Linked DNA regions of Pelodiscus sinensis. The protein of the gene in region 1 interacts with the protein of each later gene in a biochemical or structural test. Links are inferred from orthologs where the notes say so. Each region holds a gene or a part of one and is shown on either strand. Other genes may lie near its edges.

Region 1 (10,374 bases):
ATTTAACCAGTTGAGTAGTCGATAAAAATTCTATCGACTACTCGATTAGTCAATAGGCAGCTGGCTCAGTCCCGGTTTGTACAGGGTTGGGACCAAATCCCGCTGTGTCTCTGCAGTTTAAAGGCGGTAGGAGCTTGGGGGCAGGTTGCCTAATTCCTACTGCATTTTCAATTGCAAAGACACAGTGAGGTGAACTGGGGCTGAGCTGGGCTGCCTGCCCAGCCGGCAGAAGCCCCTGCCCCTACCTCCGCGGAGACCGTGCTGGGGAGAATCGGCTTTTAAGCCAGCGGAATGTGAATAGTTAACTCCCTGGTTGACTAATAGACTGATCCCTTACTTCTCTAGGTCCAGCCCTGTGGCAGGCCCTCCCACTGCCCCCGTTTAATTGGTTTACCTATGTTTAACCAGTTAATCAATTCAAGGGGATGGGGTGACCAGGAAGGATATGGGGTGGGGCTGTATCCATGGTGGGAGAGCAATGGTGGGGAGTGGTGTTCGGGTTCAGGCCGCTCTCTCTCTCTATGGTGTGGGTGGAGGGTCATGGTGGGGTGTGGTCTCTAACTCTCTCCTGGTTGCAGGTTTCAGTCCCCGTGGAGGGCGCGGTGGGTTTGGGGACCGTGGAAGAGGCCGAGGGGGCTTCCGAGGAGGCCGAGGTAAGTGCTCTCTGTGCCCCAGTGGCATCGCTGTGTTGGGGAGGGGAGGGCTTTGTGGTTACGACTGAGCACCTGTGTGCTGCACCTCCCCCTCTCCCCTCGGTCCCAGGCAACACCCACTGTTGGAGACCTTCCTGTCCAGTGAATACTGGGAGAATTTTGCTCCCACCGCACCTCAGTTCAGTGGCCATTGACTTTGGGCTGTGTTGCTGTGTGGACAGCACATCCTGTCCCAGCTCCATCAGTGTGCCATGGTCCAACCCCTGCCTGGGTTATTTCCCCTCGTGATCTCAGGGACACTGGATCCCCGCCTTCATATCTTGTCCCAAAGTGAACAGCTGCTCTGCCCCTCTGCTTTCCATGCAGGGCGGGGACAATGGCACAGGGCCAATGTGCTTCTACTCCATCTCTTCTCTCCCTTGTAGGTGGTGGGTTTAAATCTCCGGGTGGGAGTGATGGAGGCTTCCGAGGAAGAGGAGGTGGCGGTGGTTTCCGTGGACGAGGCGGGCCAGGCCGAGGAGGCCGCGGTGGAGGAGGCCGGGGCGGCCGAGGAGGGTTTAAAGGAGGCAAGAAGGTGACGGTGGAGCCCCACAGGCATGAAGGTAACCAGCATGGGACAAAATAGTGCTGTCTCCTGGGAGCAGTGAGGTGTTGTGGCCAAGGTGGTCTGCCTGGACTGGACAGCGCTGGGATTCACTGCTAGATGTTGGATTGATCAGGGCACAGCTGGGGTGGATTGCTATCCAGTGTTGGAGGCACTGTGTATGGGAGGTTACATGGCTGATCCATGGCTTGGCAGCCCTGCTGTGATCCCTTTATGATTTGCAAGGGCAATTGACTCCTTCCCATAGCAGGGAATGTTCCCCCTGCTCTCCTTAGACTTGGGAAGAGGGTTGTCCCTGTTCTGACAGCTTCCCATCCGTTTCCTCCTTCCACCCAGGCGTCTTCATCTGCAGGGGGAAGGAGGATGCGCTGGTGACGAAGAATCTGGTGCCCGGCGAGTCTGTGTATGGAGAGAAGAGGATCTCTGTGGAGGTAGGCGGCCTTGTGGTAATGGGGGAAATTCTGGGCAGCACTGGCTGCCCCAGGACTCAGGGGTGGGATGGTGCCAGCCTGTTAAGGCAGCTCCCATGTTTCTAGAGGGACACTACCCCAGCAGGAAGGGTATTAGGGTTGGGGCGACTGCCACAGTGGAGCATGCTCGCAGCCAGTTAACAGCCCCGGGGGAGCTGAGCTGAGCTTTGACCCTGCTGCTCTCTCTGCAGGACGGTGAGCTGAAGATAGAGTACCGTGCCTGGAACCCTTTCCGCTCCAAGCTGGCAGCAGCCATCCTAGGTGGCATTGATCAAATCCACATCAAGCCGGGAGCCAAGGTCCTGTACCTGGGAGCTGCTTCTGGAACCACAGTCTCACATGTCTCCGACATCGTGGGGCCGGTAAGGAGCTGCTGTTGGGCCTGGGTCTGAAGAGGATGGGGGTGGGGGCAGGGACGAAGTGTCTAGTGAGTATGACTCAGCTGTGCTGAGAGAAGGCAGTGCCTGATTGCATTGTGGGGGGAGGGGAGAATGGGAAGAAAAGCTGCTCTGCCCTTGGGGGAGATGGCTGACCATGGTTTTTTACCCCACCCAGGAAGGCCTGGTCTATGCTGTGGAGTTCTCCCATCGCTCCGGCCGTGACCTCATCAATGTGGCGAAGAAACGCACCAACATCATCCCCGTCATCGAGGATGCGCGGCATCCGCACAAGTATCGCATGCTGATCGGTGAGGGCTCTGGGCTTCCTGGGCAGGGGTCAGTCTACAGACCAAGGATCCCCTGTCGTTCCCAGCCCCTACTGAGAGAAATTACGTTAGCATGGCCCAGGAGAGGCGGGGATGGGAGGAGAGCACGCTACAAAGCAAGGGGTCTCCCACCATGCACGATGTCCTGTGGACCCCTCCCACAGAATGGCTTCCCTGCACTGGGGGAGCTACCAAGTGAGGCTCACTGCCGTGCACAAGGTCTGGGCTGATAATGCCCATTTGCACGGTGGGGGCGGAGGCAATGTGGTGCCTCTCTGCAGCTGCTGGTTGGGTGGCTCTTGAGTAGCTGGAGGCTCCTTGTGCTCAGGCTGGATCATGAGGTGTTGTGGTGGGGGGGCTTGGGCAGGGGCTGGATCTGCCCCTGTGTGAGGGAATGGTGGAGGCTGGCATTTAAACCAGCCTCTTCTCCCTGCAGGGATGGTGGACGTGATCTTTGCCGATGTGGCTCAGCCTGACCAGTCCCGCATTGTGGCCCTGAACGCTCACAATTTCCTGAAGAATGGCGGGCACTTCGTCATCTCCATTAAGGTAAGAGCAGTGGAACCTGGCTGCTGCCCCTCCGTGGGCCCCAGGACTGGGACCCGTGAGCTGTTGAGTCCTCGATCTCAGTGCAGTAGTCCTCAAGAACCAGCCAGGAATGGGGGATCTGGTGTGCAAGGTGCTGCACAAGGACAGGGAAGCTGCCCTGCACTGCACACTCATGTGTTAGGGTCCTTTATCGGGGTTCTGTGGGCCAACTGCTCTGGCTCTTCTGTAACCTCTAGGCTTTGGCTAGTCCCTATGGCTTTGGATTTATTTTGGGGGGGAGGGGCAGTGGGTCCTCTGGCCCATGTTAGATCCCTTTGCCTGCAGGTGCCACACACTGAGGTTGTCTCTTGTGGAGAAAACCTTTTGGATCTCTTGGGGTGGTGCTGGTCCCTCAACTATTGGCCACCCTGTGTCCCTGGAGGAGGGGTCTCAGCTGTGGGGCAGGTTCAGGACTGCCAGGGAGGTGACTTTCAGCATTGGGAGGGGATATCTAGTGACAGAACCATTTGCATTGGAGGGGAAAGTTGCTTAACTGCACAATGCTTCCTTCCAGGCCAACTGCATTGACTCTACAGCGGCTCCTGAGGCGGTCTTCGCCTCCGAGGTGAAGAAGATGCAACAGGAGAACATGAAACCCCAGGAGCAGCTGACACTGGAGCCCTACGAGCGAGACCATGCTGTGGTGGTGGGAATTTACAGGTATAGTAGTAACAATGCTGAGAGATTGTGAGGGTGGGAGGAAAGAATGGCTGGGTTTGCCCAGCAGAGGGGTTGGGATATGTCCATATATCCCCGATGGGAATGTGCATTAGGGATGTCAGTGTGTAGTCAACTACATGATAAACCAGTAAACCTGAGCTTATCAGTTAATCTTGTCAATGACATCTCTCTCCCCCTCCCCCAACTGCCTCTGTATCAGAGGTTGCAAGCAGGGAGGGGAGCGGGAGACAGTGCCTGCAAGGAGCTAGGTTTAAACAGGCTCCCCACGCACACCGGATCTCTCAGCCCTTTTGCCCCAGCACTGCTGCCTTTGATATAGAGGCACCAGCATGGAGGGTGAGGGGGGCAGGCTAGAGCCATTACATATGGGGAGCTAGCTTTCAAGCAGGCTCCCGGTTTGTGGCCGCTCTGTGGATCCACCTGCCCCATTCCTCTGGCTGCCTCTTGCAGAGGCAGCGAGGGGGGGGGGGGGCAGTCTCCACAGTACCACCTGCCTCCCCACCCCTCCTGCTACTGCATCTATCAGAGGCAGCAGGAGATGGGTGTGGGGAGAGGAGGCTGGTGCAAAGCAGCCTGTGTCCACGGCGGCCCAGGCTTGCCACAGAGAGAGGCTGGTCTGCAGCATCAGTCCCTGTCCATGAAGGGGTCCGAGCTCACTGCAGGTGGAGGCCGCTCTGCATCCCTTGGAGCAGCCTTTGTCCATGGTGAGCCTGGCCCCACTGTGGACAGAGGCTGGTCTGCAGCAGCAGCCTCTGTTTGCAGGGAGCTCAGACCGCTTGTGGACATTGCCAAGCTGATGCCTCTGTATCAAAGGCAGCAGTGCAAGGTGGTAGGCAGCTGGTCTGCATGTGGAGCTCGTTTTTTAAACTAGCTCCCTCCTGCCCACTTCACTCTGCTGCCTCTGATACAGCCAGCCCCAGGGGCTGTCGAATAGTCCTGTAACCGCTAAGGCTTTATGCAGATATGACTATTCAGTTACACGATAGCCGGCATCCCTAATGTGCATGGAGGTGTAAAGGCCTGGACCTGTGGGGCTGCTCTCTTTGGGGGATGGGTCTTACCCTTACCTTTCTCTTCCAGACCTCCCCCCAAACAGAAGAAGTAGTATCTCTGTGGAGCTCCTTGTCACCAGGCCCCAGGCTGGATCCCATCGTATGCTGGCTCTTCTTGCCTTGGGTCTGGGTGTGCTTCGTGGCTGTGGGTTCCTCTCACTGCCCACCCTTCTTTTCCCCCAGGACTCATTTGTATTCTTTGTGAATTTTTTTGAAGATGTATTTTTATTAAAATGTGAGAAAATGGCAGCGGCAGGCTTGTGTGTGCTGGGCAGGCAGTTCACACGCATAGGTCACACCCTGTCTCCTGTGGCTCTTGTGGAAGCTCTGCCTGCTGGGGACGGGTGGGGTTTGGGGAAGCCAGGGCTCTGTTCCTCATTTCTCCAAAGAGTGATGGGGGGGGGGGGCTGGCAGTGCCCCGGGATGGGGGGGGCGGGGGGCTGCGGGCGGGATTGCTCTGCAGGGGATGGGGAGTTGCCAGGCAGTGGTAGAGCTCCAAGGTGGGGGGGGGGGGGGGATACTGGGAGGTGAATTGGAGGAATGGGCCAGGGTGGGGTCTAGGTCGGTGCGCATGGCCTTTACTGAAGGGGAGGGGCCATGGAGCGGGAGGGTTCTGGCTCCCCCGCCCCCCACGGTGAGGGTAGAAGCCCTTCAGAAATAGTGGGGCTGCTGGTCGAATCCCCTGATTGGCTGGAGATGCGCATGCGAAGTTGGCGCTCTCCTTCCTTGCAGGTTCCTGAGCTTTGCGTACGGGAGAAACGTCACATAGTGGCGCGTGCCTGGGGGGTGGGAACAACGCCTGCGCACCACCCGGAGTGATCACATGGTATTTCAGCGCCAATGAGGCAATACCGTTGGCGATAATTGATGACCCCATCAAACGGCGCCTCTGCCGTGCGCGTTTCATTCCACTGGTCACGCGCCTCTGCCTAGCGCGCATGCGTAGATTCCTTCTGGTCGGTCTCGTCACGTGGGCTGTCGGCCGCACGCGCGTGCGCACGCCACTCTGCTTGGCCCGGATCACGTGGGCGGCCGGCGCGGCGCATGCGCGGTGCCCTGGCGGCGGCGGCGGTTTGTTGTGGTCGCCATTTTTTGTTGCATTACTGGGAAATCCCGGGGCGCGCGCAGGAGCCGCCGGACCGGACCGGGACCCGCCGCCGGGGGGCGCCGCCCGCAGCGGGCCGGGACCGGGATCTGCCTCCGCCCGCGCCGGGCCGGGCGCGCCAGAGTCCTCCGCCAGGGCCGCTGCCGCAGGTGAGCCCGGCCCCTCCCCCGAGCCTGGGACCCGCCCCAGCCCCGCATCCTCCGGCCCGGCCCGGCCGGCTCCGCCCGGCGCCCCATCCGGCTCCCCCGGGGCCCGCTTCCTTCCCCCGGCTCGATCCGGCCTGGGAGTCCCGACTTCCCGCCCGGCCGCGGCCCATCCCCTTGGCCGGGCCCGCCTCATCCCTGGCAGCTGCCCTGACAGGACGGGGGGGCGCAGGTGCCGCGGGCGGGGCAGGGGAGTCCCAGGGGAAAGCTCAGCAGAGAAATAGCGGGGGGCCGTTTGCTCTTGGGCTCCGGGGCCGGTGCCACCTTGAATCCCCCTCGCCTGTCAGGGAAGCTGCACAGTGAGATGGGCCTGGCCCTCGCCCCTACCCTGCTTGGCTGGAGATCCACTGCTGTTCCCGCCCCCTTTTGCCTGCGTCCTGCCCGTGTGACCCCTGCCCTTGCCCCTTCTCCTCGCTCCACCAGGAACCCTAACTATCTGGCAGGGCCACAGCTGTGGGTGGGCCCACATCGACCCTTAATTCCCCACCTGTACACTCGACTGCCATGGTCAGTGCCACAGGTTTGACCAGCCAGGATTCCTGCTCTCTGCCTGGAGCTTCATCTGTCTGGAACAACTCAGAGGACTCTTGTAAACTGACTCCTTTCTCCTTACCTTGACTCCCCAAACTGCCCTACTGTACATGCTCTTAATCTTCATTCCTGGGAACTGACTCCTTAGATCTAACCTGCCTCAGAAATCATGACCTAGGAACTGACCTCCCCCCATAATGTTGCACTTGCCTAGGAACCAACCCACTGCTGCCTTGCTCTACTTGCCCTGGTAACCATCATAAAGAAAGTGAGCCCCTTCCCTCTTGTCCCTGGCCCACTGTATTTGTACCTGGCACTAGATACCATCACATAGAAAGCAATCCTTTGCTGCCCTACTGCAATTGCTATGGAACCCACTGCCCAGGAAACAACTCCCCCTTCTCCATAGCCTCCTGCTTGCTGTAGCTGCTCCTGAATCTGCCCCTTGTCAATCCGGCTCCTCCAGGTCTCTGGGAACACTAGCCTTATCTTCTCTCACAATGCATTGTCATCAACAAATGTCACCTGAAAAATTCCCCCTTGGGAACCCCAGCCTCACACTCCGATACCTGCCTGGGAATGCTCATGCCCATACTTGAGAACAATTTGGAATCTACTCACTGCTTTTTTTCACCCCCTCAATATCTTCCTGTACATCTTTCATGTTAACCCTGATCCCACCTGCGTATTCCTGGTGCCTGAGAAACCTGTTACATTTGTCACCCTCTCCAAAAGCAAACTCCCTCTCTTTTGGTACTGACTGGAAACTGGGCTCTCTTATCTGGTGCCACCCAGAAACTTTCTTCTGATACCATCTCCCCTTAGATCCCTTCACTATGTTGCCCTCATTTACTACTGGGGTGGTACTCTTGATTTTAAATGGCACCTCCTAGAAATCTCCTCTTACATGTTGGTTATGGCCCTGTCCCAACCTGTGCTCTCTCATCCCCCCCAAAATGTGCAGCCCATTCCTGTTCCACTCCAAGGAACCTGGCTCCCTTCCCACTTCTGAGAACCTGGAATCCCTCCCATCTCAGTTCCCTGTCTAATCCTGACAACCCTTTCCTACCCTAGCCCTACATCGTCTTCAGGTATCACCCCCTGGGCCTATCTGCCCTACTTTCACTCCCTCTGCAAGCTTTGCAAGGTGATGGGTGATCTTGGTCTGGGTGGAGTTTTTGCTGCTGTTATGTGTTTATGATTGTGTCTGTGGTGAGGCCTGCACTTTACAGGGGTATTTGTATCTGTGATGTGTGTGGTGTTTTCACTCAGTGCATTGTGGGGGTATCTGCATTGGAGTGATACAGATCTGGGTTGGGAGGATCCGAGTTTGAACAGGGATTGTGGTATGGATATGTGGCTAGTTAAGGTCTGGAATGGAGGGGATCTGTATGGAGGTGTGTCTGGATGAAATTGGTACAAGCAAAAGCTGAGGTTTTAAGTCTGACTGACAATCTCTTAACGAGGCCAACCCTACATTATAACTTACATTGGCATAACTAGGATATTTCAAGGATGTGAAAAATCCATGGCCCTGAGCAAGACAGATATACTGATCTAACCCCTAGTGTAGCTACTGCCTTTCATGGAGGTGGGTTAACTATGCCAGTGGGAGACACTCTTTCTTTGACATGCTATAACTTTTTACGAGTAGGCCTACTCTTGGTTTCCATTATTGAGGGCATGTTTATGCTACTGAATTAAGTCCACCTGAATTATGTCAGTGTACTGCAGTAACTGAATCAATGTTACGTGGCCATGCTATACTTCTTGTGTTGGTGGTATGCATCCTCCCCAGGAATGTTTTCCTCAATTTAACTGCTGGTGTGAGGACATGTGAGATGGTTTCTGAAAGGCAGCAGCAGTTGATGTAGGCAGTACCACATCTGCTCTGACACTGCATTAATTTAACTATATTGGCCTAAGTGCCACACCTATTGCGGAGGTGGAGTTAAGTCGGCATAGTGGGTGAGTTACATCGGTGGGAGCTACACTTTAGTTTAAACACTTAACACTTAGGTCAACGTAAGCTGCCTTCTGTTGTCAGAACTCCAGTGTACCTGAGGGTCTGCGCAGTCACACACCTGCCAGTTCTCCAGTTGTCCATAGAGTCGCCTGATAGAAATGGGTGGTGAAGACCTCATTTCCCAGTGTCAAAAAGAAATGTGATTCTGGGGCTGGTGGGCCCCATTGTAGCAGCACAGATGTTGGAAGAGGCCATGGCCATTGGTGCTTTTTCCGGGTAATTTCACCCACATCCACACCCACCTCATTCTAGTTTGTTCCCTAGCAGAGCAATTTGAACAGTGTTGTTCCCAGGGAAGTGGGGAGAGCAGAAGACTGTGTTTGGTTCCATTCCGGGCACCTCCGCTGTGTTTGGATCCTGACTGGGCACCTCTACTTTGTCAGCCATGTGGCATCCCTGGAGAGCCTACATCTCATGGCTGGGCCCTGGTCTCAGGGCATCTCCCTTCCCTGGGCCTTGCTGGGTTTGCCATTGTTCTGTCCCAGCTGCTCCAGAACTTAAGGCCTTGATGTCATCTTGAGTGTTCATTTCCCTCCCCTGCTCATGGGCCAGCCCCCTGCCATTTCTCTCTTTCCTACTCTGTGTGCCTGCCCTCTGCCAGTTCTTCTCCTCATCCTCTCACCCAGTGGATCTGTCCCCATCTTTCCTACTGGTTCCCCCAGTGGTATGGCCACTATTTTCCCCTTCCCTGTTTCCTCAGCAGTAGAAGGAAGGGACTCCTGGAACAACAGTGGCTGGGTATCTGTTCACGTTAAGGCTTAGCTGGAAGGGGATCTTTCTGTCTCAGAGTGGGAGGCAGCAGTCTGGGGTTCGCCTTACTTGATACTGGGGAATTGCTAGAATTTCCAGCTCTGAGAGGACAGGCATCCCAGTGGTTAGAGCAATAGCCGAGGACTTGGGAGACCCAGGTTTAGTTCCCTTCTCCTCCACATACTTCCTGTGTGGCCTTGGGCAAGTCACTTAGCTTCTGAATGCTTCAGTTTCCCCGTCTGCATCATGTGGATAATGGCCTTGTGAGGCTTTAGAAAAGGTGGCATGCTCAGATCCTGTTGTGTGAGCTGCATAAGTTCATAAGATAGAGACTAACCCCTTCAAAATACTGTAGGGCAACCATGTGGATGGCCCATGCTGCAAGGTTTGGTTGTGCCTTGAGCTATGGTGCCATTCTGCTGTGGCTGGAGTGGAGCCTATCCCCGAGAGTACCAGTCCCATTAACTGGGCCTAGAGGATGTGGTAGTGGCTGTCCCAGGCAGATGCATGTTGGGACCACCCAAAGCACCTTAACTCTGCCCATATGGGTTGCCTTGGTAGAACAATGTCTGCACATCATAGAGAGGGTAGTGCTTCCTAACGAGACAAGCCTGAGTAACCCAGGAACTGACTGGAAGCTGTTTGGGGAAGTAACTGTCCATTGAATGTGTGTCTGTACAGCACCTAGCACAAGGAAGATCTGGTTCATGGCTGGGGCACTAGGCCCTACCATAATACGCCTAACAAACCAATAACCTATAGCTCCTAGGCCAGTGATGTCCTGATCTGTTGGTAGGGCTCTTAGGTGCATTTAATAAATAACGCGCAGCACTCTGCACAGTGAGGTCCTGGTCTATGACTGCCATAATACACCTAATAAATACCAGTGTACAGCATCTAGCACAAGGGGGAGCCTTGTTCATGCTGCGGGTTTCTTGGCATAGGTACTACCGTCGAACATCTGATAAACAGTATGCAGTGCTTAACACAATGAGACCTGGTCTG
Region 2 (11,128 bases), on another chromosome or scaffold:
CCAGCTCTCCCTGGGGGTAAGGGATGGGCCTTTTACCTCCGTATTCCCCTTTGTCCTCTTCAGAAAATATGCCCCTTCCCCAGGCTCCAGTGGAAATCTTCTTATCTCAACCTCCCTCTTTCCCTATGGAATTTTACCCTTTGCCCAGAGGTAAAAATGGCTACACCTGCCCACAGGTTACAGCAACTCTTACCCTGACGTTGGCTGCACACCAATTGAAGTCTGCTCCTTCTCCTGTCCCTCACTAAAGACAATCTGTATTCTCTCTTCTCCATAAGGAACAGCTAATAATTTCCCTATAGTCTCCCCTCTCCCAAGTGAATACATTTACTATTGACTTGCTACCACACCTCCAGCACTGTCCTTTGTTGGTGTGAACGGAGGCATTTTCAAAAGCACCTACATTATTAGGACTGTGAGTCCCATGCAAGAGCAATGAGACTTGTACTCCTGAATCACTGTGGTATGTTTGAAAATCCCATCCCTCTTCTCTGTCCTGAGATTCTTGGTGTAGTGGGTGAAGGACTGGGGACCCTAGTTCCTTACTAAGGAAGCCTCCCTGTGTACCGTATTTTCAGAGTATTTTGTAGAGGCATAGGATAATGGACTCTAGCAAGTAAACTTAGAGCTATGTAATAAAGGGAAATTACTTCCATACCAGATGTACTCAGTGTAATACAGTGTTTCACAAACTGTGCTTTGCAGAATCTCTAGTGTGGTTCAAAGTGCACATACTAATGGTCTGCAGAAAGGTTACTGGTCATGCTGTGCCTTTTCTCCTTGTTCCCAGGCAGTACATCTCTACATCAAAAGCACAGAAATACATTAAACACTTTTCTGGGTGACTTTCCCATGTAGGCAAGTAAATTAGTGTGACCATGAACAGAAAGAGATGGTGTCCATGAGACAATTTTTTGAGTAAGATGTAGTCTACCATAATAGTCCGAAAAGTACTAATAACATGGGAAGAGGTTTCTGTGCTTTCAAAGTGCCTTGGTTCGTCCTATGTATTCGAAAACCACAAAATGGTGTGCTCCGATATTTCAGCAACCATGAATTTACAAACACAGAAGCTCTGTTCTGCAGCCATTGTGTCTGGTAAAACAGTGCTGGTCACCTTCCTTGTGCCTCATCTGGTGGGAGGTGATTTCTATAATCCACCATTTTGCACAACTATAGTATATACATTTATTGACTTGTTACCTTCCTTCCAGTCCTGTTCTGTTGGTGAGTGAATTGAGGCATTTTAACACCTGCATTATTTATATACAATACAAAACATTATTTTATTTATTTTAAGAACATACCCATCAGACCTTCTTTTATTAAAAGAAGATTTCTTTCCTGAAAGGTTGTCAGCCATCACTTGCCTATTATCAGTCTCTGATATCGACCCAGAAGAGGTTTTTTATTTATTTCCCAAAATACACAATCACTTTTAAAAATTGTAGAAAATAGCAGAGATTCTTATCAGACCTGTCTACTTGCTGCCCCCATTTCAGAAATGTCTCATGGGTTTGCATCAATATGCTTCCTCCCTTGTGGTTAAGACACAGGACCAGGTTCCAAAAGATTCTGGTTCTATTCCTAGCCCTTCCACCAACTTCCCATGTAACCATGAGTAAGGCAATTAAGCACTCTGTGCCTCAGTTAACTCGTGTAAACGAGGATGATTTCTCAATTTCCCTTTTCATAAGGAGTTTTGAGATCCTCCACTAGAAAATGCTGAAGACGTGCAAAGCATGGCTGTAGAAATGGGGGATAGAAATTAGTTCTGTGTTGAAACCAACAGCAACCACACAGGGCTACTGGGAAGATGGTAAAGATCAGAAACCAGAGTTTATGCCAACGTGAAGGGAGTTACGGTGGTAAAGGACCACACTGGATCACCAGCTCCAGAACAGGAATTCCCCCCAGTTGTGAAATTCTCTTTACCAGAGCTTAATAGATGGTGTTTAATTCCTCCTTCATCCCTTCATTAAACAGGGGCTAAAGCCAAGAGCTTCTGACTTCCATGGTTTTCTCTATGGAGAGGCACCTGATAAATCATCAGAAGTTAATGATCAAAAAGCTTATCAGGGTCTTTTCGTTTATAAATTTATAAGACAAAAGAGAAATAATAAAGCCATTGGATAATTAGTAACTAGCCAGGGCCCGCCCGGTGCAACTGGCGCTCCAACTGCCCCAGGATCTGTACTCAGGCTTAGGGAGAAGAGGGAGAGGAGACAGAGAAGAACAATGTAAAAGAGAGAGACACACAGAGACAGACAGACTTAGAAATAGGGTGATGAGAGACAGGAGAAGGGGAAGAATAGGAAAGGAGGACCAAAGGAAAACCGATACAGGACAGGGGAGTTGGGAACAGTAGGGGTATCAGAAGGAGGAAGAGGGACGGATAGAAAAGGCAGGGCAGTGAAAGGAGACTGGATGGATGGAACTGAATGGAAAAGAAGACTGAATTATAGGGAGCATCTTTCATCTCAGGTAAGAGCCAGTGTATTTTCTTCCTTAAGCTCCTGTAATGTGATCCGTTCCAAATCTGCCCAGACTCTCTAGAGGCCAGGCAATAGAACCATATCCTCTTAATGTTACAGTGAATACTAACTTTTAAGTACTGTGCTATATCTACATCTTCGGTCTACTGCTGGGGTTTTGTATGTACTTTTTGTTGTGGGTGAAGGGTTTTTTTTTTGGTATTAATATCCTTTCCCCATAAAAAGGAGTGGGTACAAAGCTGAGAGAGCCTCTGACTAGAATTTAATTTTCCCAGAAAAGATTGTGAGTAGCAGTTTGATTTTCCAGGACATTGTAGTCACCCTGTGCCTCCTGTTTGCTCCTAATCTTGGAGAGCAGCTTCAGGGCAGACATCTGAGATTGTGTTAGGTGGGTTTGAAGGGCAAGATCTTAAATCCTTGCTCATGCAGACTACCCATCGGAATCTCTTAGATTCATGTCGCTGAGTCGGAATTGCAGGAGCACAATTCTGGTTCTGTCTGTGGACTTACCGGGCGTTATTGGTTCAGGGAGCTCAAACTTTTAAGAACAAATAATTGCATGTTAAGGCAACTCATAAAATAGTCTTTAGCTCGCAGGCTTGTCAGTGTTCAGTGTTCATGATGGGAGATGGAGGCTAAAAAGCATTGGATAATATTAACTTGGATTGCCAGTCAGTTTGGCATGCATCTGAAATTCCCATTGCAATCAATGAGAGTCTTACATGCACAAACGCATGAAGATCAGCAGTCTTACAAATACTTGACTCTAGCTAACATCAGTAAAATAAAAATGTACATCTTGGTAAAAATGGCAAGAGAACTTAGGAATATTTTTCCTTCCTGTGGTGAAAAGTCCCACGCTCCATGATGGCGGTTAGTATGCCACCCAGATATTTGCACGCTTCCTTTTTATTTATATTTTCCTAACAACTGAAATGGTGGATTCTGAAAAAACGGGCATGCAGCTAATGAGACAGAACTTGTGCACCTCCCTTTTTGAAGTCCTTGTTTCCCAGATGAGAGGATCAATTTTAATATGTGATCGGGCTGTGTGGCTCTTTGTGTGTACATTATAAAGGAACATGAACCTTGTCAGTTCAGGAAGGTTTGGGGGCTGGCACTGATGGGGAGAATTTCTGATCAGCTGTGAACATCAAGGCATTTCATGGAAGAGGTGAAGGAAAGAGGGTGAAAAAAATAAATGAAGGACAAGAAGGGGAAAGGAAAGCCATGTCCTTACTGTAAGAGTCTCTCCACCACAGCCTTCTGGTGAGCAGCCTCCTCTGGACTCAGGTTTTCCAGCTCCTTCATTATTGGAGGGGTGAATTCCTCCCCATCATCAGAGGTTTCCTCTTCGGACATTCTGGATTCCTCCATCCCGTTGGGAAGATGAGGGATTTCAGCACAGGGCTCCCCTTTCTCGGCCTGAATGGCATTGATGGCTCGCTGGCTTTCACTCTGGAGGTTGTAGGGGTCCACTTCCCCGAGCGCTTTGATCAGGGTCTCCTTGGTTAGCCCTGACTCCAGCAGTGCTCCTAGCAGCTCCACCTGAAGATGACTCAGCTTAGAGACCATGGTCTTCAGTCTGGTATCCGTTGGATTTGAGTTTCAGAACGTTCTGCCGTCAGCCTTCCCTACACCATGTTCCTGAGGTAACACGACCCACTGTCAGTGGAGTGGGAATGGCACAGACTCCCGCCTTTGCACCCCCCCAAAAAAAAAACAAAATATAAAAGTGAGCCACTTAGACCCCCCACGACTGTCCTGAGCCAGTGCTGATAAAGGGACCCTTGGCTATCTGTTTACATTGGAGCAGTGTAAATTCTCCAAGGTTCATATTTATCCGTGTGCTTAGCAAGTTACTGAACTTTGGACTTCAGCACTGCAGCAGCAGTTCACAAAGTGCAGAGAGCGGGGGAGGGGGAAGGGTAGGGAGGAAGAAGAGAGAAGGAGAGCAAAAGCAATGGCCAGGGAAAAAGCCAGGATGGGAGACAGACAGAAGAGAGAAACGGAAAGAAAATGGAACAAGAACGTGAGCTGAGGTGTCTGACTGGTTCTTGGCCCTATTGGCTTAAGTCAAGAACAGGGATACGCTCCAGGAGCCAAAAGCATGAGGCTCAGCCCCACAAAACCCTTTGAGTTGGGAATTAGCAGCTTCAGCAGCTCAGCCAATCTGTGCTGTGTGCACCCCAAGCATCAAGTACAACCTCTGGACTTACTCTCATATTCCCAGATCTCCCAGAGGGCTCCCATTGACTTTGTGGTACATGCAGAGGCACTACATGGTATCTGAGCCAGTTCCCCATATTGACACTTACCTGTCCCCATTTGTCTTCTTCATAACCTACTGCCTTTATTATTCATTTGCTGAGTGCTCAGAGAATGTGCTCACTTTATAAAGGGGACATGGGGCCTGCCTCATTGAATTTATAATCTAAGTAGGCAAACAAAATAAACATGCAAGCTGTGTTCTGGGTATTGGTGCACGGCTAGAGGTTCCTGGCTTGCGTACAATTGCTCCTCCTCTCCCTATGAGTGCCACCCACAGTGACTTCATTTATCAACACTGTACTTCTGTCCCTGTTGAAACTAACCTGCTTTAGGGAGCTACTCCTAACTGTTGGATCTTTCTTAAACGACTTGTGCTAATTAATCCCAAAAGATATAGGCTTGATGCAGGAATCACTTGGCCAAACTCTCTGGCCACTCTTGTACTGGAAGTCAGATAAGTCGCTGTCCCTTTTCATCTCCACATCTGGGAGTTAACGTGTCTACTCTGACTGGCTAACAAGGTGTATCTAAAATGATCAACTTGTAATAGTCTAATTTCCCAATGTTGATTTTATAGCTTGTACCATCTCAATCGGGAAGTGATGGTTGTTTCCTGTGCGGGATCAGAGAGGGGAAAATTTTGACAATAATGTTTTACTGAGGGTTCTCTATAGAGTCACTCCATCACACAACTGCCCCCCATTTATAGGCTCTCCTCTAAGGCCCAAGCTGAGGAAGGCTGGATGGAGCTTCCTGCACAGCCCAAGGACTGGCAAAAGATGCTGCTACACTGTGACCTTAGACTCTCCCTTCCCTTTGGGGGCTTCCCAAGCTTCATTCCATAGAGTTCATGCTTGTTGAGTCAGCAAAAGACAAAGCTCCTCGTCAAACTGGATCCCTATGATGACAACACAACAAGCAGGGCCACTTGTAGGGGGGATGGGCCAGGAAGATGGTTGCCCTTACCCAGGGTTTTGGTGGCTATTTTACTCCATTCTGCTGATTGGCCATCTGTTTTAATGGTGTTTGTTTCCTCTGGCCACTGTAGAAAGATTTTTCTGCCCTGACCAGCAAAACTCCTAGGGCTGCTCCTAACAACAGATTATCAGTGGATTGCTGGCTCAGCCCCTCAGCAGGGATTTTCACTAATGGTTTTCCTTTGTTTCAGATGGATTCTGCTCCAGAGAGCACCTCCTCCTCTTGGCACAGTGCAGAAGAGAGAAGTGAATGTGGCACACTGGACATCTTGGAACCCAGCCTCACATTCACCAGTCAGTAGTCTGAGCCTTAGTTGTAAGTTTGGAAAACTTTCATTTTCATTACAAAAGCCAGCTGTGATGCATACAGCTACGAAACTGCCACCCTTTGTTTTCTGTGTGCTGCACCTTTATGATTCTAGGAACATGCTGTGCGGAGACAAGAGCCACAGTGGTCCCAGAGTTGCTGCAGCATGTTACATTGGAGATTCCTGCACGTTGTGCTCTTATCGCTGTTCTTTCCTTAATGTGGTGGTTTCCTTAATCTTAAATAAATCATTCAGACTGAATGTGAATTTTTACTTTAAGAATGTTTGTATTTGTTGTCTCTCAAGCATACAACAAAAATAAATAGCAGATTGGACAGAATCTAGAGAAAGGAAGTTTGCATTCTGTGGGTGGAAGATTTTAGAGGGAGACATCTAACATTTCTATCTGATCTAAGGGGTTCATCATTTATTTAGCAAAAAATAGAGAAGTAATTATTTTATTTAAATTACAGTACTGATTTGGTATGAAGGTACGTGCTTTCTCTTTGTACGTAGAAAAATACAGAACATTCATCAAAAGGACTCCTTCAGGTTAAAAATGAGAATTTTTTTTGCACGTGGTTACATTTTATCTAAAACCTGAAATAATTTCTTAGAGTTTAAGGTCGGAAGGGACTTAGTCTGGCTGCCTGTCTATCACAGACCACTGACTAGCACCCACACACTAAACCCACCCACAAAAATGTGATCAAAGCATTAGGATCCAGGGACATCCTTAGGGTGTATGGGGCCTTATGCAGCACTGTTAATCTGGTGTCCTTTTGCCCAACAACAGCACAGGGGAGGAAGGAGGATGATTTTTTAGAGATGTGATTTTACAATCTTGAGAGACACACCAATGACATTTTTAAAGCAATGTTTAAACCAAGGCCCTGTAGAGTAACACACATAAATTCAGAAACTGACAGTATTTACTGGGGATTGGCAAATGCCTATTAAATGGCTTCATTACCAATTGAAATGTCTCTTTCACAGATAGAACATTCTTCTGAAAGGTGTTTCACTTCTTAATTAACTAGATCAGGGCTACTCCACACGTGGCCTGTTTGTTTGCAGCCCTTGGTGCCGTTTGGGTTTATGTGGGGCTCAACATGTGGCCCACAGGAGGGAGCCAAAACAAAATAGTTGTCAATATAATGGTCTTCTGTTGATCTGTGTTTTAGTAGTTAAATTCCTAGACTGTCATTGCTCATTAAAAGTGCTGTCAGATGGGTAGAAATGGAGTAATACTGCATTTTATTCATATCAGCAGAACTGACTTAAATGGAGTCTTGAGTGTTGTGTAGTCTTGTCTTAATCTTTGTATTCATGCCTGTCAGTGTGACAGAAGCTATTTGCATATATTTGCATGTATAGGCAACCACACTTAAGCTGAGGCCTTCGGCATGTGCTGTGAGCGTCTTTGTGGCCCACGGGGCTTCCAAAGTTGAGTAGCCCGGAACTAGATCGCCTCTGAAGGAAGCAGAGCCACAGAATAGGGATAAGAAGAGGTGGATGGTGGATATAAAGACCCAGTGGTGCCCCAAATTTTCAAGTGCCCCATGCAACTGTGTATTCTACATATGGGTAAGGATGGTGCTGTTAGCTTCCATAGAAATCTAGGCTTTTGTGCTACAGAGAATAGAAAGGTACATCATGGCAGGAAAATGATTAAATTACATATATCCAGATAATCCTGGGAAGTGACATACTGCAGAGGTGGGCAGAACACGGACATAGTTACGCCTCATCTGACCTATGGGAAAAATCCTTCCTGCCCCAACCACTGCCCCGCCACTCTCATTGGCTGGGAATGTGGCCAATAGAACTGTGGGAGGCAGCACCTTCAAACGGGCAGCGCACAGAGCCTCCTGCCAGCGCCTTTGTATAGGAGCTGGGTGGGGAGTCGCTTCTGCTTCTGAGAGCAGCTGTAGGTAAGTGCCATCCAGAGTCTGCACTCCTGAGCCCAGCTCCCCTGCCCTAGCCCTGATTCCCCTCCTGCCTTCTGAACCCTTTGAATTAGCGTTTTGCTAATTCGAACTAGCAAGTCCACATTGAGTGGACCCTGAACAGGGCTTAAGGATGGCCGGAAGCAGTGCCGGCAGGGCATCAGAGGAGGACATAGAGCGTGGAGATGCTGTCTCAGGCTAGCTGAGGGCTGCGCTTAAAGGGTCCCGACCCCCACCCCGGACAGACAGTTCTAAGGGGTGCTCCGCTTGCAAAGCAGACCTGGCTTGGATTGCCCGGAGTACTGGGCACTGGCCACACTGGGCACATCACACCACTCGGCCATCAGCCCGGCTGCACTTGCCGCAGGCTGCCATCTGGGGAGAGGGGGCAATTGGGGGGCTGCAGGAGAGCTTCCACCCCCAGAAGCCCGCAGAGCCAGCCCAGTCCTCCCCATCGGGGGCGCGTACCCCATTCCTCCCTCACCTCCTTCCACTTACCCTTCCCTAGCCCCCCTTCCTGATGTACAAAATAAAGATAACGTTTCTTCCAACATTGACTCTGTCTTTATTGAACAAAACTGGGGGAGACTGGGAAAAGGAGGTGGGAGAGGGGAAGAGAAAGGCTGGGAGAGGGGAGGGCAACTAAAATGATCAGGGGTTGGGAACAGGTCCCAGATGAAGAGAGGCTACAGAGACTGGGACTGTTCAGCTTAGAAAAGAGGAGATGGAGCGGGGACAGGATAGAGGTCTCTAAATGCAGGGGTTGGGTGGAGAGGGTGCATTCAGAAAAGTTCTTCATGAGTTCCCATAAAAAAGGACTAGAGGACACCAAAGGAAAGGAATGGGTAGCAGGCTTCAAACTAGTAAGAGAAAGTTGTTGTTCTTCACAAAGCAAATAGTTAACCTGCGGAACTCCTTGCTGCAGGAGGCTGTGAAGGCTACAACTAGAACAGAGTTTAAAGGGAAGTGAGATCAAGTCATGGAGGTTGGGTCCATGGAGTAGTCTTAGCCAGGGGGTAGGAGTGGTGTCCCTGCCCAAAGTTTGTGGAAGGCTGGAGAGGGAAGGCACGAGACAAATGGCTTGGTCACTGTCTTTGGTCCATCCCCTCCAGGGTTCCTAGGGTTGGCCACTGTCGGCAGACAGGCTACTGGGCTAGATGGACCTTTGGTCTGACCCAGGACGGCCATTGTAAGCTCAGGGCTCAGGGTCAGGGGTCTCAGTGGACCCCCTTGATTTTCATGCACACCTGCTCCTGGGTGGCCAGGCTGGCAGCTCTCCTGCCCTAGCCGGCCACTTTCCTGTGCCTAGTGCGGAGATCGTGGACGAGGTCCACTATGTCCGCAGTAGCCCAGGAAGGTGCCCGCCTCTTGCGGTCCAGGGCAAGCTCCCGGGAGCCGCCAGCCTGGTCCCGGGAAGAGGGGGTGGGCTGGGGGACATCGGGTGGGTGGCGCTGTGCCGTGCCAGGTGCAGGGTCTGCTGGCTGGGTGCTGGCAGGCTTGCACCTGGCACGGGCACTGTAGCCAGCCCGTGCCCCTTTAAGAGGTCCGGGGCCGGGAGGGGGGCATAGAGTTTCCCTGGTGTTGGCCAGAGTGGCCACCAGGGAAACCTGGGGAGGGCTAGCCTCCCACTAGTTCGAATTAAGGGGCTACACACCCCTTAATTCGAACTAGTAAGTTCGAACTAGGCTTAATCCTCGTAAAATGAGGTTTTCCTAGTTCGAACTAAGCGCTCCGCTAGTTCGATTCAAATTCGAACTAGCGGAGCGCTAGTGTAGCGGCTATGAATGTTAGTTCGAACTAACATCCGTTAGTTCGAACTAACATTGTAGTGTAGACATACCCCATATGAGTAACAGTAATTCAGCCAATCACTCGAGAAAGAGAATGGTTAAAGCTGGTGCCACCTCAGAGCTCTGGCCCGCTCCACTGATGTCTCATCTCCAGCTTTGGTCCCCCCAATGCTTTACAGGAAGGAGGTTAAAAAAAAATCCACCCAGAATATACTGAGGGGGAAAAAATCCCTTCCTGGCCTGATCCCTGTCGCTTGCCAGCTGTCCAATGATCTGCTCTGGTTGAGGTTTGGAGTAGAGTTGGTGGGGTCTGACTCTTGAGCAACCGATATCCATTACATATTCATCAAGGCAAAGGTGATTGTGACCCACAATCTTTAAATATGCAGGAGACAGCACAGGAATAAAGAGTAAGCAATGTTTTGGGGAAACTCCCTGTTTTCTGGTGAAAAAAGGTGATGACCAGCCTCTCTGAATGGCTACCATAGAGCACAGTCCTAGAATATTGTCCAGAGAGCATAATTTGGGGGTACAGCTCACATTTCTCAGGGATAGATAAAATTATCACAGTTGCATCCATTTGGCCAGTTGAAGGGGGAGATACTGTAGCAATTAGTCCCTCTTAGTAGACTTCACACATGCAGCATTTATCAGTTTGGACGCAGACTAGGAGGAAAGTGTAAACTGGCCATTGGCATTTTAGCCACTGGTGAGATCTTCTGAAAGGGTATAATTTAGTCCCCCACAACTTTATTAATTTTTTTCACAGATAATGTGATGTGCATTTTATATTTTTGTGACGAGGGGAAGATTAATTTTACAGTGATTGAGACCATTAAAAATACCTTATCTTTGAAGGATTGAAAAAGTCTACTGCTCATTTATGAATACATTTGGGATTTATGTTAAAGTCCTGCTCTATCTCATCATACCATGAAGACGGCAGTTCCCCATTTGATTATGAATTATTCTATGTAGTTATATTTAAGACATGAACATTACTCTGTCACGTGTAAAATGCCTAGTGTAGTATTATGTTTTTATTAGAGTGTGCACTTCTGTGTGTACTGTAATGACCTCATTATTCTGTGCAGCACACAGAGTTATCTTCTGTATTACACAACAGCTTTCCTTTAATTGATTACTTTGGGCACAAACATACTTGGCCAGGAAGTGCCCCCATTTCTTCTGAATACCACCTAAGTTAAGACATGTTTGATTTCTTTTGTTTCTTGGGAAGAACCCACTTTTGAAAAGAGGAACCAACATCTGGGCTCATTACTGAAAGACACAAGTAAGAAAAATAATATTCAGTAATTTTTCTTGAAAACCACTAGA

What was found.
Region 2: of the proteins of dual specificity tyrosine-phosphorylation-regulated kinase 1B (region 1) and HNF1A, one has a biochemical effect on the other in vitro, tested with the Homo sapiens proteins (2 studies listed by IntAct, with this or other methods). The link is inferred for Pelodiscus sinensis from reciprocal best matches to the Homo sapiens genes DYRK1B and HNF1A.

Annotation. Positions count from the first base shown.
Region 1 is NC_134734.1:4,821,715-4,832,088, reverse strand, and holds the start of dual specificity tyrosine-phosphorylation-regulated kinase 1B, read left to right. Parts: upstream 1-5,677; 5' UTR 5,678-5,692; coding exon 5,693-6,008; intron 6,009-10,374. Other genes in the region: FBL (rRNA 2'-O-methyltransferase fibrillarin), read left to right, coding at 579-653, 1,079-1,255, 1,594-1,688, 1,919-2,089, 2,283-2,415, 2,870-2,982, 3,536-3,681, 4,783-4,807.
Region 2 is NC_134725.1:8,511,361-8,522,488, forward strand, and holds the start of HNF1A (hepatocyte nuclear factor 1-alpha), read right to left. Parts: upstream 4,909-11,128; 5' UTR 4,837-4,908; coding exon of another isoform or gene 4,814-4,836; intron 4,143-4,813; 5' UTR 4,071-4,142; coding exon 3,736-4,070; intron 1-3,735. Other genes in the region: C15H12orf43 (protein CUSTOS), read left to right, coding at 5,935-6,373. UniProt on the Homo sapiens protein: Transcriptional activator that regulates the tissue specific expression of multiple genes, especially in pancreatic islet cells and in liver. Binds to the inverted palindrome 5'-GTTAATNATTAAC-3'.